4 linked regions of the Styela clava genome follow. The protein of the gene in region 1 binds, or shares a complex with, the protein of each later gene. Links are inferred from orthologs where the notes say so. Each region holds a gene or a part of one and is shown on either strand. Other genes may lie near its edges. The genes, in order: THO complex subunit 3-like, THO complex subunit 7 homolog, SAP domain-containing ribonucleoprotein-like and THO complex subunit 1-like.

Region 1 (7,788 bases):
CCGTATTCTCAGCAGTAATGATAATTATTTGTTCACAGGGGTTACCAATCCTGTGTGATAAGGAATGCAGTACAATCTTTTCTGTCAAGGCATCCAGATTACGACCTGAACGCTGTTCAGCCATTGGTTAAGAAGGTTTTTCTGACATGTTTTTACGATCACAGTCCCCATGATAGACTACCGTATGATGAGAAACAAGCAGAACTGTCTTATAAAGCTTATATACATAGAAATCGATATTCTATATGAATGACCTGATGTTTTCTATATTTGTATTATTTTTCTAATATCCAATTTCAAATGAATTCACTGTTGCGTGATACTTTGACCACGGTGGTCAATCCATATGTGTTGAGTGTACGCTTCGCTCCCGCTACCCCATCGTCTTGCTTGCTAATTTCCGAAAAGAAGGTGAGCTCTCAAACCCTTACTTTTTGTCACTGTTGGACTCGCTTGAGAGACCAAATAATTTAATTGTTCCGGCATCTCTATCATGTTTATACTTGTCTTTGTCATCACATGCGAATGCGAGTAAGAGTTGCTTAGGATGCCACGCTACGGTGAATGTTGGTGATTCACATTTGACCTGCATGGCAAACAAAAAAAGAGAGCAGTGTCATCCACAAGTGTTCCCAAGAATTAAACCAAGAAACAGAAAAATATTCAGTCAAATAGGGCAAAAATAGCCCCTAGCGACTTCGATTTTGGTTTAGTATTTCCGCCTCCATATACTCTGTGTCTGAATCAAGTAAATGATAGACAGAGTACCTACCTCACAAACATTTTCACCGGTTGCTACGCTAGAAATATCAATGAAATGATCTTCAGATGCCGAAGCTATAAGTTTGCCATCATGACTGAAACTCAATGTTCGAACAGGCCAGTCAAGCCTAGCACAAAAATATATTTAAGAAAATGTTTAGTGGCTCTGAAAATGCAGTATATGCTTGAAGTTTTTTTGTAAAACCTACCTTGAAAATGTCTGCACACAAACAAGTTCTGTTACATCCCATAAATTTACTAATGCATCAGCACTGCCTGTTGCAAAATAGCGACCTGTAGGGTCAAACTCAATGCATATACAGTTGGCTGTATGTCCACTAAGCGATTGAATCAGCTTTAGGTCAGGATAACTGTAAATTAATTTCACAAATTGTTAAATAATGCCTGAAGTATATTTAGTGCACTGGCCCACTGTTTTCAGCAAGCCATTCTGAGAGAGAAGAGAAAGCACCAGACCTTGCCTGAATGACCACACCGTCCACTCGCCCCAGATACCGATAATACTTATCTACTCTTTTTACTGATACTCTAACACTCATTTATATATAGCTTGAAAAAAAGGCCTCGAGCCCTCACCCAAACCTACTTAAAAGAGTACTTATTTTAGTAATAGTGCTTAGGAATGTATTTGAAAGAAATAAATGCTGCTTACCTTAGTATATTAACAGTACCTAATCCTGTCGTCAGAAAAAATAGATCATTGGAATTATTCCAAGAAATTTCATTCACCTGGACAAATAAAATAAAAAATATTTCACAAAAATATCCATTACTACGTTGGCTTAGTTACAAATACATGAAACTTACTTCAACTTTAAACTGCTCATATGCCTTTACTTTCCATGTTTTTGTATCAAAAAATGTCACCAAATCTTCTTTATTTCCAACTGCGATTGTTTGCCCATTGGGACTCCAGCATATGTTTATGTTTTCACCTGGAATACCAATATCGATGTTGTCAAGCTAAATTATAGATATATCTCAAATCAGTGGTTGGCACGATGTGTTAAGGATCAGGAATACACTTGCCATCGCAAATCTGATCACCCTGCGTAGGATGGTTTCCATGGTCGGTTACAGCTTCCTAAAGCAAATCAGATCCCTACTTTCTGGGAAATGGCTTGGTGAGATTCCCGAGAGCAAGTTGAAATCGCTAATTAAACAATACCTTTTGTTTGCATCGTTATTGAGCATTTCCCACTTCTTGCGTCCCATATTCTTACTGTTTTATCACCAGAAGCGGTTGCAAATAAATCTGGATGGCTTGGATGCCAACAAAGCTGATCTACACTGTCTGTGTGCCCTTTGTATGATTGATCTCTGGACTAAATCACAAAAAAATGCATATTAGTCTACAGATATCTATCGTTGCTGTTAAATGGACAATTCATTCCGAGATAGTCATATCTAATCCAGCTTGGTCTTTTCATTCATTGTGCATTAAAAAGACAATCATCACATTTGATTTATTCATAAATTATTTATATCAAAAGGGGTGTACGCCTTACATTTGTGTTTTAGGCCAGTATGGTCTTGTGTATTTATAATTACTAACTCTTTTATATTGCTTTTACGAGACGAATAAACATACATACATTAATCTGCATGGGTTTACAGGTTCCTATCCCAAGCAGGGATAGTTATGTGTGAGAGTATTGCTGGACTCCTCGTCGTCGTAGGGTGGTTCACGTCTTAACTAATGGCAGAATGGTTGCAAGAAAGGTATTTAACATGTTATTGTATCAATTTCTCAAACAGGTTCACATCTAGAATATTGAAAATACTGAAGAAATAGCAACAGACTATGTTATAATGAAAGTTTTCTATTTATTTTATATCGCATTTTCCCACGAGAAACCTGGTTTCTGGGAAATCCCCCCCCCCATTTTCACAATACCAAGATACCATTATACAGCATTGTCTGATACAATATGCACGTAAAACTTTTACAAACCAGCCTGTCTTTATCCAGAGTAAAAACACTGGCAGTTTGATCGAAAGATCCAGAAGCAAGTCTTCTTCCGTCACAGTTCCAAGCAACAGAATGGACTTTCGATGTATGAGCACCATATTCTTTTTGTCGATCGTGTAATTTAAAATATTGCTGCATTTTCTTCGTGAAATCCATTTTTAACGTGGCGCGCGAGCTTTAATTTTTAGCAAGTCGCAACTGATCAATTTTAATTTCAATTTAACCCGGTATTATTATACCAACACAGAAGATTTACTGAATAAATCATTTTATATTTATCAGATTTACATTAAAAATACGAGGCAAAAACACTCTTTCACTTTAAATTATTACTATTTCATTGCTGCTGTAGGTATTCACCTAGTTTAAGTAAATTTATGTAGTTAATAAACAGTTTTTGTTTTTTGAAGATTATAATAATGAATGATTTGTTAAAAGCTTTGATGCATGAATAGTTATGAATTGGACCGTCAATAAATACTAATGTACAAGTAAACACCGTGCATTTATTGTGGAATGTTTTCACTCAAAATGTTCCATTAGTAAAAAGCTTACTTTTATATATCTGGTTTTGTCAATAAACAAATTTTTCGTTACTGGGCAAGTGTCATATTGTAAACCTAGAAAGCTTCATAGCGAGAGAGAACGGAACGTAGTTGTGAATTTGGCGTCCTTACCTTTTGGGGGAGACAAATACGATTTACTTACTCCAGCTTGTTATGCGCAGAAGCTGCAAAACGTTTCCTTGCCAAGACTTAAGAATATTATAGAAAATGCAATGTTATGATTACTCTATATGGCAAACATCAATGAATGTTCAGGCAGGAATCTTTCGAAGGCATTCCATTTTTTTGCATTGTGATATAAGATGGTCAGCACGTTCGCCTGATCTTACACCTTCTCACCATATTGCGTGGTGATATATAAGGGGATGGTGTACAAGCACCGATAAACAACCATGAATGGATTGAAAGCTGCAAAATAATAAATGAAATTCAACGAGAAATTTTCGAAGAGTAGTGGAAACGCTCGCAGCAATATATGGACCTTTCCCCGAGAATAAACTTCCTTGTTTACTTCGAGATATTGGTCAATCAGCAAGATGCCCAAAGTGACGTAACAATGCTCCCTTTTCGAATCCGCTCAGATACTTTTCTCACTCAGGACAGATTTTCAAGCCTGATCGTAAACATTAACTTGTTTTTGAACTCTATTCGTTAGTTTTCGGAAACTTAAATATAAATCAGATAATTCAATGACTACTCTGTCTTCCTAGGAGTTTTAATTTAATTGCTGTAATAAAAAAATTAGTGTAGACATAGCTTTGATAGCCTAGGCTAAAATTTTTTATCGGTACTTTTAAAAAAGAGATTGTTGTATTGTATGCGATGAATCATAATGATGGTTTGGAACACATACCCCCAGTTTACTGGCGCCAACTCGCAAGAACACTCTTAAAATAACCCCGAACATTTTGCAATGGTAAAATATGGGTAGAATTTTTCGGGGGTCAAAGGTCCGGAGTCATTTTATACATGGTAATTTTCTAATATTAATCTCTAATAATCGACGCTAGTTGGCTGATTCGCATACGATAATTACCATCAATAACATTGATTTTGAGACTTTCCCTCCCAATTTGTTGATTTAGATCTGGGAACATTGGTTGTCGAACCTGACACACACACTATGCTAGTACCGCCATTTTGTTCTTTCTGCATTGCCATTCTTCCCGTCAGTGGGACCAGAATAAACCAACAAATGAAATTCACAAAAGCTCAGAGACTATAACATTGCCCTGGATAAACATGAACTACCTATCTTGCAAAGGTTACGTCAGTAGAGAGTGGATTTGGCACTTAAATTTCTATTTGTAGCTTGTTTTTTATCCTGAAAAAGGCCAACATTTTGTTTGCCACCCAGGCGTCTTTAAGTTGAAAGTCGTATTATTCTGCAGTCTGGCCTTACATTGATCAATGCGTAAACTCTGATAGTTGCAACGAAATAAACACACAATAATGGTTTTATGACATATATTTCGAACTTCGTAAGTATTTTAAAATCGAAGCTTCTGGAAAAACCATTTGTTCTTGCCGGTCTTGTATCTGAAAGATATACATGATAATTCAGTATATTATCACCAAACATGTATGGAACAATTGAATATATACAAGTTTAATCACAATTAAATAGGATATAAGCAGAATATATAGCCTAACTCCATCTCCATCCATTTGGGGATGAACATCAAAAACATAGCAGAAAGGATAGCTTGTGTCTGGGACATCCAGGTATCGCAAAAATTTACAAAGGTTTCGACTTCGACTTGAATGTACTTTCATCAGGCATAAAAAGAATTGATAATTTTCATTTTAATCGCTATGAAAGTTTAATTTTATCGAATGTTGACCTTCAATGAACTCAGCAAGGTGAGGTAAAAATCATTATAGTAAATAAATGTTGGGAATATAATTTGATTATTGCCATGAACTACTATATGGCTCACAAATCTAGAATAAGTAGCGCAAGTACAAGTAAAATTCTTGAAAATTTGCTTTAAAATTTATTATTGCGGACTCAATTTAATGCCTAATGACATATGTAAAGTATAAATTATCCGTAATAATATTTACAAATGAAGATTCAAGTTTTAAAAAAAAAAGAACTGTTGTATGCTTCAAAAAAAGTTAAATTCGGATTCAAAATTTAGTTTTATACTACATGTACATAGTATTGAAAATGTTTTAAAATACTCTTTAAAACCAACAGATCATTCATTTTTTATGAGCCATATTCAAACAAAAAAATATGGAGTACTGAAGCCTGTATATACTGCTTCTTCAGAAGCCACATTCACGTAATAATTGCTAAATCTATTAAAGCGGTGGTTCTCAAACTTCTTTGTATCGGACACTCTTGGAAAAATATGCTCAAGTTGCGATTCCCTAATAAAACATCTTGATACCTTTTACTAAAGACCTTTTTCGAAAAAACGATCATACAAAACATAACAAAAGTCAGTGAAATGGCATTTAATGGGACGGGTGTACTGCTTGTGGTTGAATTGTGAGAGCCGCAGGCATTTACCTTTCAACATTTGCTCGAGATCTATATTTCGTCTAGATTACAACCATGGTAAAGAAGCCTGCTTCACATAAATACGAAGTCGCAAAGGGGATGAGATGGCGCAACAATTTTTAACCAAGAAATGATAATTTTTATCCGAAGAAATCCAAAGACTACTTGCGAATCTTCTTTTTATAATTTCTTGTTCAAATAAAAAAATGTTCAATCACAAAACAGGTACAATTCCACAAAACAAAGAAGAGTTTTGCGACGCACCAACAAAATGTGCTTGTGCGTCGCCCACTTTAAGAACCACGGTATTTGCATTAAAAAGTTTGTTAAAAATAATCAAATAATTCTGTTGGTATCCTTATTAAAAAAGCAGGCCACCAGACCTTTATCTAGAAAAATAACGTGAAAAAGAGAAAAGAAAAAAACTAACCTCTCTTCTAATTTTGATTTAACTTCTCGCCTCGCTTTTCGTCGACCAGCAGGATCTCTGATTGCCTCTTTATTAACAACTTGTTTGTCAATGGGAACGTCAACGGAATATCTATGGTAGACATAGAAAATATTCGATATAGAAGTGTTTCCTACACCATGGAAATTGGTTGAACACCTACGAGTCCAGGTTGGAAATGGGGATATTTAACCCAACCGGGGCTGAATTGCACTCAAGAGAGAAATTTTGCCGTTTCAAGGTAGAATTTTGCTCTGTATTGAGGTAATATTACAAATATTTTTTACTATAACTACAACACATATTCATGAACACACAATCAACTACTTAAACTATACAAAACGAAGGTGTGACTCGTGCCTATAACACTAACATTGAATAAAAAAAATAGTTTACATGCATAGTGAGGGAAGAATAAATAATTCTCAATGGGGCAAAGAAGGAATTGAACAAAAAAAATTGGGAACAACTGCATTAACCAGTTGATAGTTCCAGATGCATGGATGTGCCACTGCCAAACCATTGATCCATCAATATAGTTACTAAATTTGAACATACACATATCATGCTCAAATACCGGTACCGGTAGTTTTATGTTTTCTATTTTGAGACACCTGGAGCTACGTTTGCTGCAAATAAGACTCAGGATAAACAGACATTAGAATGTAGAACACTCGTTTTAGGATTATTTCCATCTCTATTCTGTCAAACTTGAACATAAGAAAACCATGAAGATAACTTCATAATAAAATTTTACTGCTATGAAATTACAAATATCGTTTCGAGACAGGGCGAGTAACTACAGTAAATATATATCTATATGTACAAGAATGGTGCGCAGATTTTTAGAATAATTCAACGCGCCTAGTATAGTATCTTCAAAATGTCCATATTATTATTATTAAATGGCCACCTATAGTATCTATTTAAATTAAACGATCTTTTTCAATGTAAAAAAGATTACTAACATTCTATGATATGGTATAATTCTGTTATTTTTCCAACACTAATTTTCCACTATTTGTACAATAATTCTAGTATAATCTGATTTGAGTTTAGTAAGATAAACTGAGAAAGTGGAACAGTAACTCGACCAAACACATCACAATGTAACCCAGTGTTTATTATACTATTTGTTGACATGAAATCACTGCATGCCATTTGGTTATATCCTTGGGTCACGAAATATCACAAAAATTATTTTTTGAAATATTTGAGCCACTTGATAAACAGAAGCAAAGAAAACAAATAGTGTTGAAATAATATTATAGTGCAGTCAATAAGAATGTTGATACTTATCATTGCAATAAAAAACGTTTATACATTGAATGAATTTGTTTGAATTCTTATGAAAGCAAGACCACACCATACCTTGTTGGCATCAAGTGATTGTAATTGATGACTTTCACAAAGCTCTTCACTTTAGATCGCTTTTTTACTTTTTTCTTTGACATAGGTTTTGTTACTTTGCGAGGGTATCTGTCGATTCCAGCTACGAGAGCATGTC
Region 2 (7,652 bases), on another chromosome or scaffold:
CGTACTAGTTTTGCTTTTTCCAAATCATTCTTACATTTCTCTATCTCATGATGTGCCAGTTCAACATTGTTGTCAATGTCGTTCTTATATTTGTACAAAACATTGAATACAACATATTATGGATCAATAAGCCAATTAAATCTCAGATATATATTTACATATAGTTTTATAATTTTTCTATGCTCAATACAAAATCCCGATCTCCATACGAAAACTGGAGAAGGTACTTATAAAACAGTTGCAAGAAACTACTGCAGTTGCATAGCTAGGCTTCTATCAAGACAACTGCTTTTGCCTAAGGGACAAAGTGTAAGTTCTAGGGGGAAAATATCATTTTTTATTGTCAACATAACTAGTTGACCATGATTATCGATAAAGACACTTATAACAAATAATAAGTCCATCAGACACTCACATAGTTGCTTAAATTGTGCAATAAATTCGTTGTTAACAATATTACATAGTGAATATAATCATTTCTGTTTTATTAATAAGAAGATGCTACCCATTGTGCTTGTTTTGTCACAACAGGGGAAATTCACAAGTTTAAATACCAATATCATAAGATTGATCAATCAAGCCTTTGTATTGTCTTCCCTCTCCCTAAAATCATAGTCGAATACCTGTATTTTTTCATACTTTCTCATCTGCTTTTTATTCATTTCATGAACATAAGTTGCCCTCGTCATTGCAAATTCACTTTGAGATAGAATTGATAGCATTCTTTGTAGTGTCTGACTGAATAAAAACCAGTAGTATAAATTTTGCAGTTTATTATATTTAGGCCAATTTTACCAGGAACTGTGATAACAGCATCTTGTTATTTGCATCTCACTGTTTTCTTTATTAATTGATATGTGTTTTGAAATCGAATGTCATAATACTTTTTTTACTTTCGGTGTAAAGCTTTTTGATTTCTAGTTTTGAGTAATTTTATGTATACTATAAGAAATCCATTATAAAACCACATTTTTATAAGACACTACTCTCAAATATCTTTTCTTTTTCAGAAATCCATTCTATATTCAACTCTTACTGTCTTAGTAGTTAGTACATATCTCTTACTGATCAGTTTCTGAAGATTCAGTATTGCACCATTTCATAAAGAGTTTCATCAAAGTAGTGAATCTTCTTTCATCCCCGCCTCCATCTCCATCTATCAGGAGACGCTTTCGAATTACTTCATCTAAAAAAAAATATTATTGCTTGAAATCTGAAGCAGAGAAAGTGGTACAGGATGAATTTTTACATTTATTCGGAATAAGTTCTGAAAGTAGATACGACAGTAAGTTGCCGTCATCATATCAACCAGTTGATAGTCTCTCATTCAATTATCTGCTCTGACATAGTATGAGAATAGTGAACTCGGTTGATCATATCAAGTCACAACTATGTCTTCCTCTTACAGTCTTAATATGACATCCCACCTACCAATAAAACATACCGGTATCAATGGGTCTTAAAAGAGTTAATTAAAGTCGTTGAGACATATTTCAGTATTCGACAAAGAATTCAAAATTAAGGGGTAAAAATTTTCATTATACTTTATATAGTCAGTTATGTAGCATAGGATAGGTACGGTACCCCTTTGAAATCTCCCATCTAAAAGCCAAAAATTGAGTGAAGAATAATGCAGTAATGTAAGTCTGTATGTGGGTCTGGTATAGTTTAGTACCGGTACCACATGTACTTCTAGTTGGCCTGACTCAACAATTTTTGCATATGTCAATCCTAACCCCCACCCAACTACGTCACCGAAAAAATACGTCATTTCGACATCACAGTGGCGTAATAAGGCCCACCAAAGTATGCGGCTGGTCGTCCAAAACGTGCAGACGATCATCCGAAATCGAGCAAGCTATTTCTCTCGTTTTCGCGTCACAACAATCACGATGGGAGTGAGATGCCATTTCGGGCGATCGTAATTATACTTTGGCAAGCCATATGACGTGATGGTGACGTAATTTTTGGATGGCATAGTCAGGTGGGGGTTAGGAATAACATATACAAAATTCGTTATGCTACCCCCACTGCAAGTACTTGTGGCACTAAACTAAACTATTTTTTGTTTTTCAGGTTACTTCAAAGTGATTAAATGAAGTAAAACACATAAGGAAAAAATCAAACAAAGACTCCGATATCCTGTGAAATAACAATCTTATTCCTATATCCTTGTCTGAAATCAATACCCAAGAATGAAAAACCTCACTTACACCCTTTGTAACCAATTTTTTTCCATATCCAACTTTAGTTAATTATAGTAATTTTACTGTTCCAGTAACTTTAATTACTTATCACAATCTGGACTATAATTTGGCAATAATAGGCTCTAATTTGGGGAATGGAATGGTCTCGCCCACCTCTTCATGCACCCAATTCTGGCAACTTTGGTTGGGCAACTTGGCATTTGACTCCAACTATACCGGTACCTAATCAGCTTGGCAATATGTTTTCAATAGAATCTTCCTTTTATATTTTAATTAACGATTGGAAGATCGATCAATTTGGCATTGGCAACCATTACAAAATTATCAATATGGTGTGGCAAATAATTTTTTTTCTTTTCTAGTATTTATTTATATTTTTTTGTTTACTGTATAGTACCGTATACCCTAAATTTATCGTGTTTTATTTTCACTTAAATAACTTCTCAGTGGTTGGGTGTGTGTGTGGCTGGTGGGTGCATGTGAGTGTGTGTGAAATAACTTAATAATTTTAGGTGAGTAAACACGTACCACTTCCTCTTGGCAAAACCTTCCATCTTATATTTTGTACGTTATAAAACCCTACCTATCTAAGGTTTCGTTTGCTCCCCTGATTTCATAATCAGTTTTTATTTATTTGTTTTTATCCGTCAAATGTATTGTTATGCTGATTATGGAGTCGAAATAAACTTATACTAGACCCTCAATTTCGTACCGGTACCGGTATAGATTGCAAATGTTCGGGCATTTCTGCTTACCATCCGTAGCCATTATCCTCTGATCCAGTTAATGAGTTATTTAATAACCGTTGAACCTTGATGACGTCTTGTTGAAAATATCCAGAATATTTGGCTGCCTTGCACCAGCGGTTCTGCGACTGTAGGGTACCGTACGACAGCACGCGTGCAAAAGTATTGTCAGAGAGTAACGCTGCAAACTGACAAACAGCAACCACTGTGAAGCTAGTAGCAATTTGACTTTTGTGTGCGGCGAAGCGGAAAGGTGAATATTGGCAGCAGAAATGAAGGAGTGTCATAATCTACATCCGAAAAAATGTAGAAAAACGAATTTAGAATACGATCAATGGGAAGATACTAATCATTTACGATAAATTAACATCTACAAAGCAAAAAATAACAATAAATTACATGATAAACAATGAAAAAACAATAAAAATGACACGAATTTTATTTAACTTCCTTCGAAATAGCAGATGAGCAATTCCTAAATCAAGTCAAGTTGTACAGTAAACAAAACTAAGGAGATGGATGACGAGTTTAAAAAATGGGGAGTCAGCGTACCCCCATAGGAGAACATAAGCCTTCCAAATTTTAAAACCTAGGGTATTCTCATAGCTAAAAAACGTCCTTATTCGGAAAATTACCTATAGCTAAAAAAGCTGATTTAGTCAAATTTCAAAGCCTAGCAGCACATCCTTCCGCCCAAGAGGCATCCGATTTGATTATTTATTATTAAAGAGGTTTATCTGAAGTTATTTACACAACTCGAACCTAAGTCATGTTTTTATTAGAATCTAGGGTATTATCGAAGCGAAAATGGCCTATTTTTGAAAAATTGCGTATAGCGAAAAAAGCTGATTTAGCCAAATTTCAAAGCCTAGCAGCACGCCCTTCCGCCCAAGAGGCATCCGATTTGATTATTTATTATTAAAGATGTTTATCTGAAGTTTTTCACACATCTTGAACCTAAGCCTTGTTTTTATTAGAATTTAGGGTATTATCGAAGCGAAAATGGCCTTATTTGGAAAAATTACTTATAGCGAAAAAAGCTGATTTAGCCAAATTTCAAAGCCTAGCAGCACACCCTTCCGCCCAAGAGGCATCCGATTTGATTATTTATTATTAAAGAGGTTTATCTGAAGTTTTTCACACAACTCGAACCTAAGCCTTGTTTTTATTAGAATCTAGGGTATTATCGAAGCGAAAATGGCCCATTTTGGAAAAATTACGTATAGCGAAAAAATCTGATTTAACCAAATTTCAAAGCCTAGCAGCACACCCTTCCGCCCAAGAGGCATCCGATTTGATTATTTATTATTAAAGAGGTTTATCTGAAGTTTTTCACACAACTCGAACCTAAGCCTTGTTTTTATTAGAATCTAGGGTATTATCGAAGCGAAAATGGCCTTATTTGGAAAAATTACTTATAGTCAAAAAAGCTGATTTAGCCAAATTTCAAAGCCTAGCAGCACATCCTTCCGCCCAAGAGGCATCCGATTTGATTATTTATTATTAAAGAGGTTTATCTGAAGTTTTTCACACAACTCGAACCTAAGCCTTGTTTTTATTAGAATCTAGGGTATTATCGAAGCGAAAATGGCCCATTTTTGAAAAATTACGTATAGCGAAAAAAGCTGATTCAACCAAATTTCAAAGCCTAGCAGCACACCCTTCCGCCCAAGAGGCATCCGATTTGATTGTTTATTATTAAAGAGGTTTATCTGAAGTTTTTCACACAACTCGAACCTAAGCCTTGTTTTTATTAGAATCTAGGGTATTATCGAAGCGAAAATGGCCCATTTTGAAAAAATTACGTATAGCGAAAAAAGCTGATTCAATCAAATTTCAAAGCCTAGCAGCACACCCTTCCGCCCAAGAGGCATCCGATTTCATTATTTATTATTAAAGATGTTTATCTGAAGTTTTTCACACAGTTCGAACCTAAGCCTTGTTTTTTATTAGAATCTAGGGTATTATCGAAGCGAAAATGGCCCATTTTTGAAAAATTACGTATAGCGAAAAAAGCCGATTTAACCAAATTTCAAAGCCTAGCAGCACACCCTTCCGCCCAAGAGGCATCCGATTTGATTATTTATTATTAAAGAGGTTTATCTGAAGTTTTTCACACAACACGAACCTAAGCCTTGTTTTTATTAGAATCTAGGGTATTATCGAAGCGAAAATGGCCCATTTTTGAAAAATTACGTATAGCGAAAAAAGCTGATTTAACCAAATTTCAATGCCTAGCAGCACACCCTTCCGCCCAAGAGGCATCCGATTTGATTATTTATTATTAACGAGGTTTATCTGAAGTTTTTCACACATCTTGAACCTAAGCCTTGTTTTTATTAGAATTTAGGGTATTATCGAAGCGAAAATGGCCTTATTTGGAAAAATTACTTATAGCGAAAAAAGCTGATTTAGCCAAATTTCAAAGCCTAGCAGCACACCCTTCCGCCCAAGAGGCATCCGATTTGATTATTTATTATTAAAGAGGTTTATCTGAAGTTTTTCACACAACTCGAACCTAAGCCTTGTTTTTATTAGAATCTAGGATATTATCGAAGCGAAAATGGCCCATTTTTGAAAAATTACGTATAGCGAAAAAAGCTGATTAACCAAATTTCAAAGCCTAGCAGCACACCCTTCCGCCCAAGAGGCATACGATTTGATTATTTATTATTAAAGAGGTTTATCTGAAGTTTTTCACACAACACGAACCTAAGCCTTGTTTTTATTAGAATCTAGGGTATTATCGAAGCGAAAATGGCCTTATTTGGAAAAATTACTTATAGCGAAAAACATTAACATTAATTTACAACGAGTTACGGGTAAAAATTAACCGACGGCTATCACTAACAGGTAGAAACGTTTTCGCAAAAAGCGCATCATCACCGTTTTTGTAAATTTAGAAACGTCGAAACAGATAAGTAAGACAAGTGAACATAGTATTTTGTGGAAATTTCTTGAGGTATTGGGGAGAAATATTATTTTGACCATGTAGAAATGTCATTATTGCCTATTTATTCACGTGTTTAGTATCAGTGTTTTAACCCAAACCCAAATCTGAGTTACGTGAATACTGAACATTGAGTATTCTAAAGATTACCAATTTGCGTTTATTGATTATTATTTAATACGAAAGTAACACGGACACGATCTAAAATTAAAAGCATAGAAATGTGAACAATACGCCTCACAAATATCGCATCCCGGGGTCAGTAATAATAATATTGTTGGTCTAAAATTGGGACCGTTATTTACAAATTGTGTTGCAAATCTTACACAGAATATAAAAATCACAATAAAATTAATTTGTGTTGTAAATGCACTCCTCAATAGTTGTCTTTAACATCTTCGCCGATGTGAACTCAGAATTCTGTCCGAAATATAAAAACCAAACTACGATCATTAATGTTTGCTAGTGAATAATAAAGTGCTTTGATATAGTTTAACAATATTAATTGGAATGTCAGCCTCCGAAACGATCGTGGTGACAACATTTACTGCAGCCTTCGATTATGACAAAATTATGAAATAAAAAAGCAGCATTGTTATGGAGTTTTCAGCCATCTAGTAAAATCCGAAAAAGAAAAAAAAATTATTGCCACAGCATCGTTTCGGCGGCCTATATCCCAATTAGTGTTGTTTAAAATGACAATATTCATTATTCGGTGTTTGTTAAAAATATTCGAATAACTCAATATAAAAAATACGATTGTGCCCGCCACTCATCATGGCGCATGTAAATAATCAATGAATGGCAATAAAAAATCAACTTCATTAACATTAAATTCCAAGTATTAGTTTCACATTTCATGAATTTGATCGACGATACATGCGAACGTGTTTTTGTACATATAAACACTTATGACGCTACTGACATCTGCGAGTTATAGTTCTCTCCAAAATTTATTTTTCGCGATTTTTAAGGTTTTATTTCTAAATGCGGGTATCCGCGGACTACGGATTAATGGTCCATGTTTGAAATAGGACTTGCAAAATATTCACCAAACACCGCCAGGCAAGGAGAGGCGGGCTACACGTAACTGTGGAATTTCGCTGTGAACAATGTATACTTTTTAGTTTATTAACTCTTCCAGACCCTGGAGATTAACCCTAGGGCTTACATTGCACTACCTTTCATTCTCAAAATATTCCAACTGATTCGCCGATTTTAAACGCCAAACTAACGGAGATTTTCACTTCAACGAAAATTGAGCAAAATTTGTAGAAAAGTCTTGAACGTAACAATTAGTGTGTCTAGTAGAGGGTTAATAACTATTCCTAATTAAATATTTTTTATTTAATTTAACTGTAACCCCCGTTGAAAAATCCTGGCTGTGCCCCAGATCGTATGCTTTTACCCCAAAATTCAATAACAATGTTGAGATTTTGCGTATTCAACTTATGATCCATTTAAATAATTTCATAAACTTCAGTGAATTTCTATTCAACAGCCAAAATGTACTCTTCCCCGAACAACTCACTGCTATAGCTTGAGAATAACTATCCAAATCTATACTTTCGAAATGTTTGCTTCTTCCCATCATAGAATTGGTGGTACATTTATTCTTTGAGGTAGATAGGCTGAAAAGTTTCAATAGATTACACCTCTGTGATTACTTGTCAAAGATTTTAAAACTTAGAATTCACCACTCTCATAATCGTATTTAAAATGTTGAGACTACATAATGAGTGAAGTTTG
Region 3 (7,250 bases), on another chromosome or scaffold:
GACTAGTTAGTTATTTGTTTTCGGGAGCATGGACTTGATGGTGGCTGGTCGGTTACGTGAACCACCCTACGTCGGCGAGAAGTCGAGCAATCCTCTCGCACATAACCATCCCTGCATGGGATTCGAATCTGCAAACCCACGCAGACTAATCAGAGGTGCGATGGCGAGCGTATTCCTGACGAGTAGCACCATGAGCCGCCTTGCCGAAAGGAAAAAGTGAAACGATAAAAATGACTACAAAAGTACAAGGCCGCAGCCAAAAACAAGAGACAAACGAAAAAAAATAGGGTCGCAGCCAAAACAAGTGAGAGAGGAAGTCAAAAAAAAAATTTGAGCCAAAAACAAGGGAGAAAAAAAGAAAACAATAGGGTCGGAGCCGAAATAAGAGGGGGCGGAAGACTAAGTCAAAACAGAAATTGACGAGCATGGAGGGAAAATTGCACCAGCGAGCCAACGTTGATATTTTTTAGTTGGTCAACAGCGGGAAAAGTGCGGCCTCGTAGCACGAGAGAAAGATATTTCATTTTCACAACACAATGTTAAATAGAATGGAATAATGCTGATTTTTATAGTAATACAGTACATTGAACAACTTAAACATTTAATTGTGTAGGACTTTTGTGGGTCATAGAGGCTCTTGACCATTTTGTTTACACTGTGATCATAGGGTAACTTTTTTTTATGTATCCTGGCAAATCCAGGTGTCGCATAAGGGGGTGACTGAAATATCTGGCTGATCTTTGATTCGTGGAAAACTATTCGAAAACGCGCAACTCTCAGTGTGTCTTCCAATGCCACAAATATCAATAATGTTGTACAAAATAATTTGATATATTGCAATAAAATCTAGACAAACAGTTCGCGATATTTGGATGAGGTTTTCACAAGGTGTAGTGTGAAGTTAATGAAGTGTAGTATAGCGATGCGAAGATAGCGAAGCGATTTTCTGATTTTAAATAAAAATATTCGAATACAGATCATGTAAAACAATAATGTATTGGAGCTCTTGCAAGCTTAAATTGTTAATCAAAGTAATTATTATTCAGACAATAATAATGTTGATCACAAATTAATATCGAACCAACACATCCAGACATCACTACTGAGGCAAATATCAACAGAACCAGTGATGTAGAATACCAAATTACAATCTTACCAAAACGTTTTGTGCCAGGCAATAACAAATTAAACTTTAAAACAGCGTTTCCCAACCTCTTTTTGGTCGCGGACTTATTCCTCATTAGCGAAAACCTTTGCGGACTCAAGGTGCATTTCTTGCAACCGTACTCTGTGTGAAGAAGCAATAAAACCAAATACAACGGAATTTTAACGAATTTCATAATCGGAAATTTGCCGCAATTGAGCGTTCGTTAAAATGGCCGAATTTTTTAAAGAAGTAATGCCTTAGCCATTAAAGAACACGTCGTCACCATTTTAGCCAATAAAAACACGTTTTGACGTTGTAGATGAGTTTAAGGTTGTGGACAGACACGGAGAGCAAACGATGAAGACAACATTAGAACATCGAGAGACGAGACGACACTTATCAAGACGACTCCTAATACCAGACCTTTCAACACATTCCTTTCTTCAATACCTTACTCCCAAATATCCAATTGAAACCTTTCTATGAATTTTAACTAAAATAACGAATTTATCCCTAAAATGCTTTCATCTTTTCGTAAGTGGACGCAACCGCGAGTTACCATGAACACGATTGAATTAAAATAGAAAGACATTTTAAATTCTCGTAGTTGTCATGGATTGGATATTGTGCGACAGAAAAGGCCATTATACATTAAAATTCCACGGCAATCTGCGAATATACTAATGTGAGAATATGTTACCCGATTATATTTAGTTTTGATACATAATTTTTGCGATCTTGTGAATTCGACAAATCTGAAACAAAACTTACGGCGCTCCAGTACTGTAGCCTACATACCAATGTGGAGGCAGTAAAGCAAAGTATCCTAAGGGAAAATGCCCTTGTACGTATACTATGGTGGCACCGGAAATTTTGCGATTTGCAATGTAAAAAAGTGTTTTCAATCGGTTGCGGACTACCATAAAACAAAACTTATGGTGTTCTCCGTGTTATCTATAGTAGTTTGTATTGCCGCTTTTCAATTTAGAAAATTTGGGTTGCCACCATTGACACCTACCAGAAAAAAAATTATTTCTGGTTGTTCGCACTCGCGAGAAACACTACTTACGTATCTATCGACGCGCGTGCCGACTGGTGTTTTCGTAGAAAATTAGCAATTGTTTGGTTAGGCGACGCGCAGGTGACCTGTCACGCCACCTGTTGCCGAATTTTCGAATAGAAAATTGCTATTCTAATAGTTGAATATTCGAATATATATATGCCAAGCCCTACTCAGTAACCAGAAATTATTGACTGGATTAAGTGATATGAATAAACTTATTTTTTTATGTTTTATGTAAATTCTAACATAAATCATAACTTGGCTGATAGTTAGGTCTCGCAAAAACGTTTGCGGCCCGCAGTGAATTTCTGGCCCGTTGTGGACTCATTCAAACGCTCCGCGGACTCATTTGAGACCGCGGACTCGGGTTGGGAAACACTGCTTTAAAATATACAGAAACAACGTCAATTTCGGTTCAGGAATCAATCAGATTATAGTCTATTTCTAGCTTACTTAAAATTCCACAATAAAAGTTACAGCAGTTATATGTACCAATAACATAAGCCTGTAGAACGGGCAATTAATTATCCCTACAACTGGACGTAAACCTAACTAATATAACACATAAAACTGCTAGACTTGCGAACAATAACCAACAACTACCGCCAAAACAGGGCAGTGAGACTACAGCGTTGTCAGATCCCAGTGATCGGAAAAAGACAAATCAAGACGAAAAAAGCTAACAATTCTACTAAGTACAAAAGCCCTATGATTTGTCTGATTTGATGCCCTTAGCACAATAATGGGTTTGCAATAGGCTGACGTAGAGCCATCAGGTCATTTGGTGAGCCACATAAATGTCTTTTCCCATTGAAAGTTGTATTTTCGGTTGCTATCATGGCGATTTCCACTTCGGCGGGATGTGGGGTTTAAGAATAAAAAAGATTATTTAAATGGCAGCACCAGAATCTACATTCGACACAATACAATTAAGCTGACATCTGTATGAAAATTGGATTGGATTGTGACAATATAAAATTGTAAAAAGCAAGAAATAGTGTCAGCGACGTCATACAAAAAGTCAATCTTTACTTGAATTATGGGAATTTATTTATTACAGGTGTGATACGTGTGCAAATCGAGCAAGTGTCTTAGGTACCCGTAATGAATTTAATTTAAATGCAATTAAAGAGGCTCATGACTGTAGTAAATGTCATAGCAACTGAAAATGGGACGTCATATTACGCGTATCAAATTGCTAGCGCTATTTAAAACATGAAACATATTTTACCTAAATCTTGGGCTTCGGGGGCGTCTTTATTCTAGCTTGACTGCAACTGTCTGATACCAGTAGTATATATTAATCTCCAACCTTCATTGTCACCAAGAAGGGCAATCAAATCCCGAGGCAAATGAAAATCAAACTCAGAACTCAAACCGTCTTATGCCACCTCGTGGTCTGAAAAGTCTGTGGGTCGTTTAGCATCGACTGATTGAGCACTTACCTCAGTGTGTCGCTGGTTTGGTGAATACATCATTCCCGTGATATTTTTGTTTTTACAATCTTATGCAATATGCTGAGATGTAGATTGCCTAAGTTAATACAGTGTGAGTGGGGAATAATATATAGAAAATCCATTCCCAGATAGTCTTATTGAAGTTTATTATTTTTGAATTTGCAATGTCAATCTGATTAATTCAAGCTACCGTATTTTCTGAAATTATAAAATGTTTATTGATGTACAAGGGAATTTGATTTCGACCCTAGATCTAAATTGCAGACTAGTTCAACAACTAGGCTAAGTCTGTAAGCTGAGCTAGCCTTCTCAGACAGTCAGACCTTGTTATTTTCCAATGAACTGCCCACAGCTCTGGACAGGTTGACAGCAGTACTTCTGTACTTAGGATCATTATAAGATAATATTTACATATTCATTTCACTATATTTACGTCAATAAATTCATGCCAAATTTGGAATAAATTACAGTGATATGATTGATTTCATGGCACATGCATATAATTTTTTCATCAATCGAATTATTTATCTGTTTTAATTGCATTAAATGCTGTGACCAATCACTATGCCACTAAGTACTGAAATATATAACTTCGAATGGTGATTATTTGTGTCACGCAACATAGATGGAAAAGTTTGTGCATGAAGATGAAAAAATTTCCAGATGTTCAAGCCACAGATCCATGTCGCAAGGATAATGATAACTAATTTACTAACTAACTATAATAATTACAATAGAGTATATAACTAACTAATTTATTAATTACAATAGAATAAAGTATGAACGTGGTAAAGTGGAATAACGGCTGATATTTTCGTTTTACTTTTAACAGTTTATTGTACCGGACTCTTGATGTTAAATAACACGATAAAACTCATAGTTGACATTATACTATTTTGTTTTTTTTTCTGGAAAAATCTCACAACGCGGGCCGCAAAAAATGCTTTGCGGGTCGCGTGTTGGAGACCCCTGCTCTAAAATCTGAAAATATCGATTCGACATCTTTCATTTAATAAATTGTTTTCCATAAATTCATTAAATGGAACTCACTTGCAATTGATTGTTTGCAGCAATGCTGGTTATGTTATTTATATTTACCCAGTACAGCAGTATTATCTGAATAATGACCTTTGGATAATGACCATTGCTTTCATTTGCAGTATCATTTCAACTACCGTAAGCAATAAAACTATAATAAAAATGGCATCAGAAGATGAAGTTGTGATTGATCTCAGTAAAATGAGAATTCCTGAGTTAAAGAAGGAATTACAGTTGAGAGGGTTGAAGACTGGAGGCAATAAACACGACCTAATTGAACGACTTCAACAATACTTGGAGGAACATGAAGGTGCAGAGGTTGCGGATGATGAGATATTAAAAGAGGATGAAGAAGAATCATTAATAGATGATCAAAAACTAGAGGATTCTGTTTTATCAGCTCCTCTTGAACAAACTAAAGAAAAAGTGCCGAATGACACTGAGAGCGTTGAAACTGAAAATGACAAAAAGATAGAGGAAGAAGAGGATTCATTAACTGAAAATATTAAAGACTTGCATTCTCCAACTGGCTTATCTGATGCTGATAAACTGAAAATTCGTGCACAAAAATTTGGTGTCACCGTATCTGACATGAACGCTGACGCAAGAAAAGCTGCACGATCCGAAAGATTCGGAACAGGTAAAGGGATAGGTACTACACCTGGTGCGGACCCTGATAAACTCAAAAAACGGGCCGAAAGGTTTGGGGGTGCCGTCTCCAGTACCTTAAGTACTAATGAAGAAGATGAAAAACGGAGGAAACGACAAGCTAGGTTTGGTATTGAAACATCTGGTACAATAACAGGTGAAGATGTTGATAAAAAGAAAAAGAGGGCTGAAAGGTTCGGGCTGACTGTTTGAAGCAGAGTTACCTTATTACCTCATTCCATGCATGTGCATTGTTGATAGGCCCCTTTGATCGTATGTGTGATACACACCTAGGTATCCTAATTTCATCTGCATACAAGTTCAAATTGGTTTAAGACAATCTGTGTTTTATTAATGTTGTATTGTTCTCACTAGTGAGAACCATATTAGTTGAATTTAAATTGAATTTGAGTTCTCTGATGTCCACTACCGCTGCTTAGTCTACTCAATCATAGCAACTTTTGAACTGTTCTGTTGGGTGATGGTTTTTGTAACTTTGGCCTTGGCCTTGGAAAAAGTATTGGTATGCATCATGGTCCTCTGTTGCATTGTAGTTGTACAATTTACAATAGGCATATTTAATGGTACCAATTTTACTGTTTTATTAAATGACACACAAACAGGGTGATTATACTAGTAGTCGCTAGCAGTTATTTTGACATTACAACCTCGATGTTACATTCTATACTTAGTATTGAAAATTATATAACAGAATTCGATTTATAACATGGTATTGTTGCACTATATCACATTTCTTATATCTATAAATTCTTTAAATACTGATTATGACTCGAGCATAATAAATTTGTATATGGTAAATGGAAAATGAAGCTATTTCCCTAACGTATCCAAAAACTGGTGTCCATTCTTGATCACCTACTTGGGGCATCAAGATGACAATTCTCTAGATGGAAATATTCTGAAATAAAGAATACTTTGTTGTAAATTATAACTAATTTTACATCAGCTTGAATTTTCATTTTTCTTCAAACATATCTGCATTCAAATCTCGATCCGCATTTTTTCTGGGCGTTGTACAGTCCTATTCCTAAAATTTAGATTATTATACAGTTTATTATATCATTTGCAATCCATGGAAATAATTCTGTATACTTGGCTGCTTGATTGTTACGTCACTAGTCTTGAAAATATTGGTCAAATTATTTTGGAATTTCATTTTCAATCCAATGTGTTTTTATCTTGATATATTGAATATCGCCACCGAACTTTACATCAAACTTTGAAATTCATGATTAATTTCTTTGTTGTTACCATTTTGTCTAGATTTAATAATAATATAGCGGCTACTCAATAATAACTATGATGGGAGAAATAAACTGAAAATTGGAGAACCTATATTATAGCGAGAGTGGTATCAAGTCACAGGAGATGACTAGACTAAATATGAGCACATTACTAAAAAATAAATGTGGTGTAGGGGCTGGGGCCATAAATGTGGTATTCTGAAATTCACTCAATGTTTTGCTTATGAGTAATTTATTCTGTCTGAATCTTTAACTTATTGAAAAAATTAGTTATCCAATAAGACTTAACACCAAATATTGTAATAAATTGTACTGGCAAAACTGTACTAAACTAAATTAGTAAACTGATTGTATCAAATGAAGAATGCTGATAAAGGCTGTAAATCGTCAGATACCTGGGTACACGAAAGGTGAGATTTTACAATCATTTTTTTCAATAATATGTAAGCTATTTTAAGTGATTGAATATTGTTTTATTGCTATTTGACCATTGAAGCTTTTTTGGTATTCATACAAAACATTTAAGGTTTAAACTTTGCTAATCTATAGTATATTGGCAGTTTGCTATTGTTATGTGCAATTTTCCAGGTAGCGAAGATTCATGGTGTGGATCATATACGTTCATACATGGA
Region 4 (7,581 bases), on another chromosome or scaffold:
GATTACCGGTGGTAAATCATGTTGCGCAATCTGTGACGACAATCCCGTTTCATTTTAGCCACACCTCGTAGAAACAAATTTAATTCAAAGAGGCAGCCGATTCGTCTGATAAAAAATTTTACGAGCGGTGATCCTTGTTGGAATTAAGCAATAATTTTATATTTGTTCACGAGTGATATTTGACTCAACTTTGACATTACCTCCTCCGATTTAAACAGTTTAAGAAATAAATTCCATAACATGAATTTATCTATAGTTTCGAAAATATATGATATTAGAGTTAGACGACAGCTCTAAACAAATAGTTATGCCAAAACCGAGTCGGATATTACTGATGACACGCTGACACCAAAGTTATATTTAATGTTGCTCAATAGTTAACATTTTCCGTAAATACGAAGAACATGTAAATCAGGGACGAGGACGTAGAAAACAAATTTTCAAAGGGGGGTTCTCAAATTTTTAATTGCCAAATTACACCGTAACAGCTATCGGGTACGGGCAGGGGCGCAGCCAGGATTTTCAAAAGGGGGATTTTAAAATCGGAATTGTGAATTTCCATGCAACGGCTTCTGAAATGGTCGCCGCGATTGCGCGATCGTTAAAATAGTCATATAATATATAATGACTTTTTCTGTCGCGTAATATTCAATCCATGAAAACTACGAAAATTTAAAATGTTTTTCTATTTTAATTTTATTGTGTTCAACCGTAAGTAACTAGCGGTTTAGACGACTTACGACAACATTACTAATCTAAAATCCCACTGCACACAATGATGTGAGGTCAACTTATAGCAACTACCCCCCCCCCCCCAAATGTACCCATTTCATGTTTAAATCATCAAAACAAAGTTAATTTTTCCCAAAATTCGAACAAAGACTTTCGTAGGAATCAAATTACACCATTTTTAAGAACATAACATGTTCCACCCAGTCATTATCAAATTAAAATTTATATTCTCAAGACCTTTGGCACTGATTGAAATAATTATATCTAAGTTCCCATCCGTACGATGTACATATTTACTCTTATTGAGATAATAGGAGTTTCTGTTTATAACGTGAATCACGAGCTCACGTTTACAGCATTTAATTAGATTTATGATCGACGTATAAATACGACTCGATATCTTTCAATGAAAAGCTAGTGTGGATAAATGTTTTAAGATTTGTATTCTGTGTGTCGTGGAAATCTGAGAATAAAATCAAACAGAGTTTTCTAAAGTCTTCATTAACGTGGGCATTGAAGCTGAAGGGTGAACGGGCGATTGGCAGTTCTGAGACGGTCTACGATATAGCAATATACGGTGACATCACATCCATTTACCAATTATTATAAATTATATATGTTATAAACTGACCGAATATGTTTAGTTTTGATATAGATTTTTGCGCTCTTGCGAATTCGTTATCGTCGTTAGAAAAATCCCAAGATCTGCTATAAAATCCCAGAAAGTAAAATTTAATCAGGAACAATAAAATACATATCGAGTATATTTATCAAAAATACATCTTCTCCGCCTTGAAGTCCCCAAGAAACGGCTTCTGAACAGGTCGTCGCGATTACGCCACTCGTTAAAAGAGCCGGCTTTTTCAACGAATATGTAAAGACTTTTCTGTTGCATAAAATATTCAATCCATGGCCGATATGGCCATATTTAAAATGGGCTGCTTCATTAATTGGGTCGTGATCAATTTAATCTGCAATTTCGATAATATTAAATAAAGCATCACTAGAGATAGAAACTGCATCTAATCGAAGTTGTCGAGCCTTAACCTTTGTGTCGCAATGGACTTCATGATACGGGAAGCCGTAACCGACCAGCAGTTACGTGACCACCCTACGGCGGCGACGAGTCCAGTAAACCCTATCGCACATATTTATCTGCCACGGGATTCGAACTTGCGAACCCACAAAGGGTACCCTGATCAGAGGAGCGGTGCCAAGCGTATTCCTAACGCTTTCAGGTCAGGTATGGGATTAGTTAGCCAGGTATTTGTTTTCGGAAGCATGGACTTGATATTAGTATTAGTTGGTACTTTCAAATTGATTGAATATTTCGAATCAAAATGATGCGTTGAAAAATGTAAACTAGTTCGTAGGTGCCAACTTGCAAAACCAGTCTTATAAGTACAAGAGAGCTATGCTCAAATATATGGACACGTCACAGCAGATACCCCAGTCTACGCCTATTTTGACACCAAGCGAAGCAGTACTGCAGTAGTTTACCTTACCTTATCTTTATCATTGCTGGTACCGGTAACCTCAAAAAACTTCCGAGTTTCGAGTAGCGAGAATTTTCGGAATCGGTCGTCACGCTTGGCGGATTAAAATCCGTGTTCCCACGATTGAAAAGTGATACAGCGAATATTTGAATGAAATATTGGATCCCATAGGGTTCATAGAAAATTTAGGACTAAAAAAAAGTAATAACCTTATGGCAAAAAAATCAATCTTAAAAAAATGAAAATTTCAAAGCAATTGGTCCAGTATTCGAAGAGAAAAGCGATTTTATCATGACGAAGGAGAAAATACCAAAAACAACAACATAATATTGAAACGATCGTTATGTACACTGACGTGTCCAATAAGAGATTATTCCAATTATAAAATTCTCAGGGTATGTATGAAAAGAATTTATCTGAGAGAGAGGAAGCGAATTCAATATTTTTGTCAACCACAATACAAATAAATATTAAAATGATAAATTACACAGCATTTATTCAGGTATCGACTGGGAGGTCATCAAAGGCAGCTACCACCCATCCCAGCCGTATGATTTTTGAGAACGAAATAAAAAATAACCGTCGACTACCGTGTTTCCCCGAAAATAAGACCTACCCTGAAAATGAGACCTAGCCGGAATTTTAAGAATGATTTTAATATAAGCCCTCCACTTAAAATAAGACCTAGTACAGTGGTTCTCAACCTTTTATGGCTCGTGGCCCCCTTCCGTTGGCTTTTCGCACTCGTGGCCCCCCTGTTCCCCATTTTAAAAAACTAGACGCGTTGGATGGTATTATGTATTTACGACCTTTTATGAAATGCAAAAACAAACCACAGTCAAGAAAGTCAAAGCTTTTCAGTAAACAATCAATGGGAATCTTGTGCTTGGGACTGTCTGACTAGGTTCCTTATATTAGGCACCGTCTGTGATATAGCCAGACGAATGTCACTGTCAACATCAAGACGGTTTCTAAATTTTGTTTTCATGGTAGCAAGATCAGTGCAAATATGTTTGAAATACTTTTTACATGCAATAGTGGTACTTGGCATAGTCAATGTTGCTTTCTTGTCGAATTTAATTCACTTGGCAGCCAAGCACCGATATCATTTATATAAACAGCTTTTATCTTGGGATAATTTTTGTCACGGTGGTTTTGGAGTTTAGATGGACGTAATGATTTATTGCTCATTACATACGAGAAATGCAGGACTTGCGCACATTTTGTGTCATTTACTTTGGTAAAGCCAAAGCCAACGTAACTGTCGTTCCATTTTCGTATTTTGGGCATTAGAAATATAGGATTCTGAGTCTAAAATACGATACCGACAGTTATCTCTCACCATGGACCTTTCCCCGAGCATCGACTTCCTTGTTTACTTCGTGACATTGGCCAATCGGCAAAATGCAAAAAGTGACGTAACAATGCTCCCTTTTCGCATCCGCTCAGACACTTTTCTCACTCAGACAGGAATTAAAAATTCCTGTAGAAATAGCTGTGATAGACTGGGCTAAAATTCTTTACCGGTACTTTTAAAAAACAGATTGTTGTATGCGATGAATCATAAACCTTTGTTGAACCTATGTTTGAAACCTATACCGATTTTACAGGCGCCAACTCGCGAAACCACTCTTAAAATAAGCCCCGAAAATTTTGCAATGATGAAGTACAGGAAGAATTTTTCGTGGGTCAAAGGTCGGGGAAAGGTCCATAGTGAAACCAGTCTGCAGGTTAGACTGCTTACCAACGAACTATTTTGATTGATAGATTCCTAATTCCATTATGATCAAACAATTCACGCACAAGAAAGTGAATACACCCTGTGACCTGAAATTACCTATTCAGATAATGAAACTGAGGCAACGGGAATTTACTTTTAAAGGGAAAGTATGCAAACGAAGTCGCTTTTTAATCAATTATTAAACTCGTGTCGTGGCCCCCCTTGAGCTGCTCCGTGGCCCCTTTGGGGGGCCACCGGCCCCCGGTTGAGAACCACTGAGTCCTTGTAGATAACGCAAATTTTTTTTGACCTATATATCAAGAAATCTCTCCAGCACGTTTTAAATGATCAGTCTAAAACGTATGGGAGAGGAAAACGTGTTATTTAAGTAAATTGATATCGATTTGTATATTTTTTATATTTAAAAATCTCGTGATTCTCTACTTTGTAATTCTGTTTTTGATGAATGAAAATAAAAGACATCCCCTGAAAAGAAAAAAAAAAGAAAATTGAATAAGACACTGTCTTATTTTCGGGGAAACACGGTGGTTAACTACCAAATATATTTAAACGAAGAATAACATCAATGCAAATAATATTGTGAAGAGGTACAAAAATAAGTGGATATTGAAAAAATTGTTCAACGAAAGTTGAAAAAAAAAAACTTTCTTTTTGGGGTCAAAAGTCAGAAAAATATCCGGGGTCAAAATTCGAGAAATTTTCTTCGTGTTTCGCTGCTAGCTCCACAGTGGTGTTGGGCTGTTTTATAATTTTGTAGAGATCTTCTCACCTATATAATTCCGACTCATTTTGGCCTACAGACTTAGGAAGCTTTTTTTTGCAATGGCCTCTGATTTTGTATTCCAGGATGCATTGTCCTCTTTCAAGGTAAGTCAGTCTTATTGTCAGCTTGTTGACTATGATCATGCGGTCATTTATAAACAAATTGCAGAATTTTATTAGTCATTTCACACACGCTCACATGCACCCACCAGCCACACACACAACCACTGAGAAGTTATTTAAGTATGAATAAAACGAGATAAATTTAGGGTATTCGGTATACTATACAGTAAACAAAAATAAATAAATAAATACTAGAAAAGAAAAAAATTTTCTGCCACACCATATTGATATTTTTGTAATGGTTGCCATTGCCAAATTGATCGATCTTCTAATCGTTAATTAAGATATAAAAGGAAGATTCTATTGAAAACATATTGCCAAGCTGATTATAGTTGGAGTCAAATGCCAAGTTGCCCAACCAAAGTTGCCAGAATTGGGTGCATGAAGAGGTGGGCGAGACCATTTCATTCCCCAAATTAGAGCCTATTACAGTATTATTGCCAAATTATAGTCCAGATTGTAATAAGTAATTAAAGTTACCGGTAACAGTAAAATTACAATAATTAAGTAAAGTAGGATGTGGAAATAAATTGGTTACAAAGGGTGTAAGTGAGGTTTTTCATTCTTGGGTATTGATTTCAGACAAGGATATAGGAATAAGGTTGTTATTTCACAGGATATCGGAGTCTTTTTTTGATTTTTCCCTATGTGTTTTACTTCATTTAATCACTTTGAAGTAACCTGAAAAACAAAAAATAAAACCGTGAGTAGATGTTTCAATGATTGGGTGAAGGGGAACGCTCTGAACTATTTATTACAGGCAAAAAATAATTGTTTAATTAAATGGGATGTCATCAAACATTCCAGGGTTTTTAGCAAAAAATAGCACTTTTGGTCGTGTGCCCGCCGACGCGTGTCAGGTTTAAGTAGCCTACCTGTAAGATTATGATTGAGGCAAGCATGGCGCGATCTGACGCGTCTTCCATCATGATAGATGCTCTCGTTTCAGAGTGTTCAAATTGAGTGTTTGTTTTATTGAACCAAATGTCAGGACATCTTGGAATTGGAGAATCTTTCCTTATTGTAAAATTATGCAGTACCATTGCTCTCAACAACAGGTATGGCCTATCAACTCACCACATAAAACTAACCTGATCGAATTTTGAAAAATTTGTTATGGTGTTACTTATTATTTGCGAAGTTCTTTTTTTGAGACGTCTTATACCTTATTAATTCTGTAATTTTGAAACTACTCATTTTTAAGTAAACTCATTGGAAATTGCAGCATAAAGATGTTTTGAATGTTTCAGTTTTGTTAATATTTTTCTATTCAACTTCTCAATATTATGCTGATATGAAACTGTTACTGAACGGCTGTGAACGCTTTATATTTGTTTATGCAGAATGAAATTTTCGAAGATTTATCAAGTGGAAAGATTGATTCTATTGTTTCAATAAAAAGTGTTTTTCAAACTATCTCTGGCACTGAAGCAGATAAACGATTGGCAGCAGATCAAGCATTTCGTATTACAGTATCCAATCTCATTCAGGAGACAATAAAAGAAATTCATGGGGATAAAGAAATGGCAAATGATGCATTGAAAGTTATTTCACTCACTGTTGTTGCTGCTAAACAAGGTTCTATTCTGTATAACACAAATTTTTTATATGATGTTTCAATACATCTTTTGCTTTGTACAATACTCTGCTCAAGGAACCCCTGCTTGGTAAGGTGATACTACAGAAAGGCACAGTTTTCCGATTCCATAAATATCGCCCACATTTAGAGACATCGGGTATAACAGTGAGTGCCCCGCCTTCACGAGGCAGTCTGGGCCTCCATATCGACTCAAAACAGTAAACTGGCGTTCCGCAATAAACTGAAAGGAAGCGTATCTAAAAACATCATAATTGGATTCCTCTGAAAAAAATAATCTAATTTACAAACGGAAAAAAATTTACTGTACCATTCAAGAGTTTTTAGCAAAAAAACACAATTTTGGTCATGTGACAAACGTGTCTAATTGGTTAAAATTATTACCAAGACAAGCTTGGCGCGATTTAACGCATCTGCTGTCATGCCAGTCGCCCACGTTTCAGCGACGAATAGAGTGTTTAATGTCAGGACATCTTGGAATCGTAAAACTGTGCTCTACTGTACTATAGTTTGGAAGGATCGGAATCTTTCCTGTTTGCTATTTCTTACCCAATTCATTACTTTGGGCGAGTTGGTCTGCATAGGATTTGATTTGAGATTTAACCTGCTATGCCATCATAGTTAAGTCTAACACTTTAACCATTAGGCCACCTCATTCATTACAATTTTTTACTACAACACTATTTGAATTCAAGTTAGTCTGGCGTGTGGCACTGACTTTCGGTGGTTTGAATTAGATAACCCTGTCTATCCAAGTTTCATTCAATATTCAATAATGTCAGTTAAGTTATTTTCATTTCTCTTTTTTTGAGGAATTAGCAATCCAAATTACAATCCGAAATCAGCTTTTCTACAACTTATCAAGAGGACTGCATTTAAGTTTTTTTAAACAAACCTATTATAAAATTGATTCTGTTTTAGGTATGTGTTCGGCAAGTCTACCATTCAGCCTTCTAGGAGATTTGTTAGATTGCCTTACTCTTGACACATGTGACCCAGTGTTTTGCTTTATTGAAGAGAGAGTAGCAACATGGAAATCTTCACAGTTTTATACTGCAGGTCAATATTGAATAATAGCTGATTGTTTTCTTATTGATTCGTGTATATTTCAAGTGATTTGCTATTACTAA

The links.
Region 2: THO complex subunit 3-like (region 1) and THO complex subunit 7 homolog share a complex: the UniProt entries of both Homo sapiens proteins name them as parts of the transcription/export (TREX) complex. The link is inferred for Styela clava from reciprocal best matches to the Homo sapiens genes THOC3 and THOC7.
Region 3: THO complex subunit 3-like (region 1) and SAP domain-containing ribonucleoprotein-like share a complex: the UniProt entries of both Homo sapiens proteins name them as parts of the transcription/export (TREX) complex. The link is inferred for Styela clava from reciprocal best matches to the Homo sapiens genes THOC3 and SARNP.
Region 4: THO complex subunit 3-like (region 1) and THO complex subunit 1-like share a complex: the UniProt entries of both Homo sapiens proteins name them as parts of the transcription/export (TREX) complex. The link is inferred for Styela clava from reciprocal best matches to the Homo sapiens genes THOC3 and THOC1.

The regions. Positions count from the first base shown.
Region 1 is NC_135250.1:23,430,234-23,438,021, forward strand, and holds THO complex subunit 3-like, read right to left. Parts: upstream 3,247-7,788; 5' UTR 2,912-3,246; coding exon 2,738-2,911; intron 2,109-2,737; coding exon 1,952-2,108; intron 1,719-1,951; coding exon 1,591-1,718; intron 1,513-1,590; coding exon 1,436-1,512; intron 1,134-1,435; coding exon 972-1,133; intron 891-971; coding exon 773-890; intron 587-772; coding exon 428-586; 3' UTR 279-427; downstream 1-278. Other genes in the region: mitochondrial inner membrane protease ATP23 homolog, read left to right, coding at 39-249; large ribosomal subunit protein eL27-like, read right to left, coding at 4,812-4,860, 6,264-6,374, 7,653-7,788. UniProt on the Homo sapiens protein: Component of the THO subcomplex of the TREX complex which is thought to couple mRNA transcription, processing and nuclear export, and which specifically associates with spliced mRNA and not with unspliced pre-mRNA.
Region 2 is NC_135258.1:15,197,971-15,205,622, forward strand, and holds the start of THO complex subunit 7 homolog, read right to left. Parts: upstream 3,154-7,652; 5' UTR 2,976-3,153; coding exon 2,963-2,975; intron 1,187-2,962; coding exon 1,066-1,186; intron 739-1,065; coding exon 624-738; intron 84-623; coding exon 1-83. UniProt on the Homo sapiens protein: Component of the THO subcomplex of the TREX complex which is thought to couple mRNA transcription, processing and nuclear export, and which specifically associates with spliced mRNA and not with unspliced pre-mRNA.
Region 3 is NC_135261.1:12,045,461-12,052,710, forward strand, and holds SAP domain-containing ribonucleoprotein-like, read left to right. Parts: upstream 1-4,807; 5' UTR 4,808-4,867; coding exon 4,868-5,566; 3' UTR 5,567-6,638; downstream 6,639-7,250. Other genes in the region: serine/threonine-protein phosphatase CPPED1-like, read left to right, coding at 6,983-7,028, 7,207-7,250. UniProt on the Homo sapiens protein: Binds both single-stranded and double-stranded DNA with higher affinity for the single-stranded form. Specifically binds to scaffold/matrix attachment region DNA. Also binds single-stranded RNA. Enhances RNA unwinding activity of DDX39A.
Region 4 is NC_135252.1:8,701,385-8,708,965, forward strand, and holds the start of THO complex subunit 1-like, read left to right. Parts: upstream 1-4,572; 5' UTR 4,573-4,791; coding exon 4,792-4,836; intron 4,837-5,671; exon of another isoform or gene 5,672-5,885; coding exon of another isoform or gene 5,886-5,912; intron 5,913-6,197; coding exon 6,198-6,432; intron 6,433-7,372; coding exon 7,373-7,510; intron 7,511-7,581. UniProt on the Homo sapiens protein: Component of the THO subcomplex of the TREX complex which is thought to couple mRNA transcription, processing and nuclear export, and which specifically associates with spliced mRNA and not with unspliced pre-mRNA.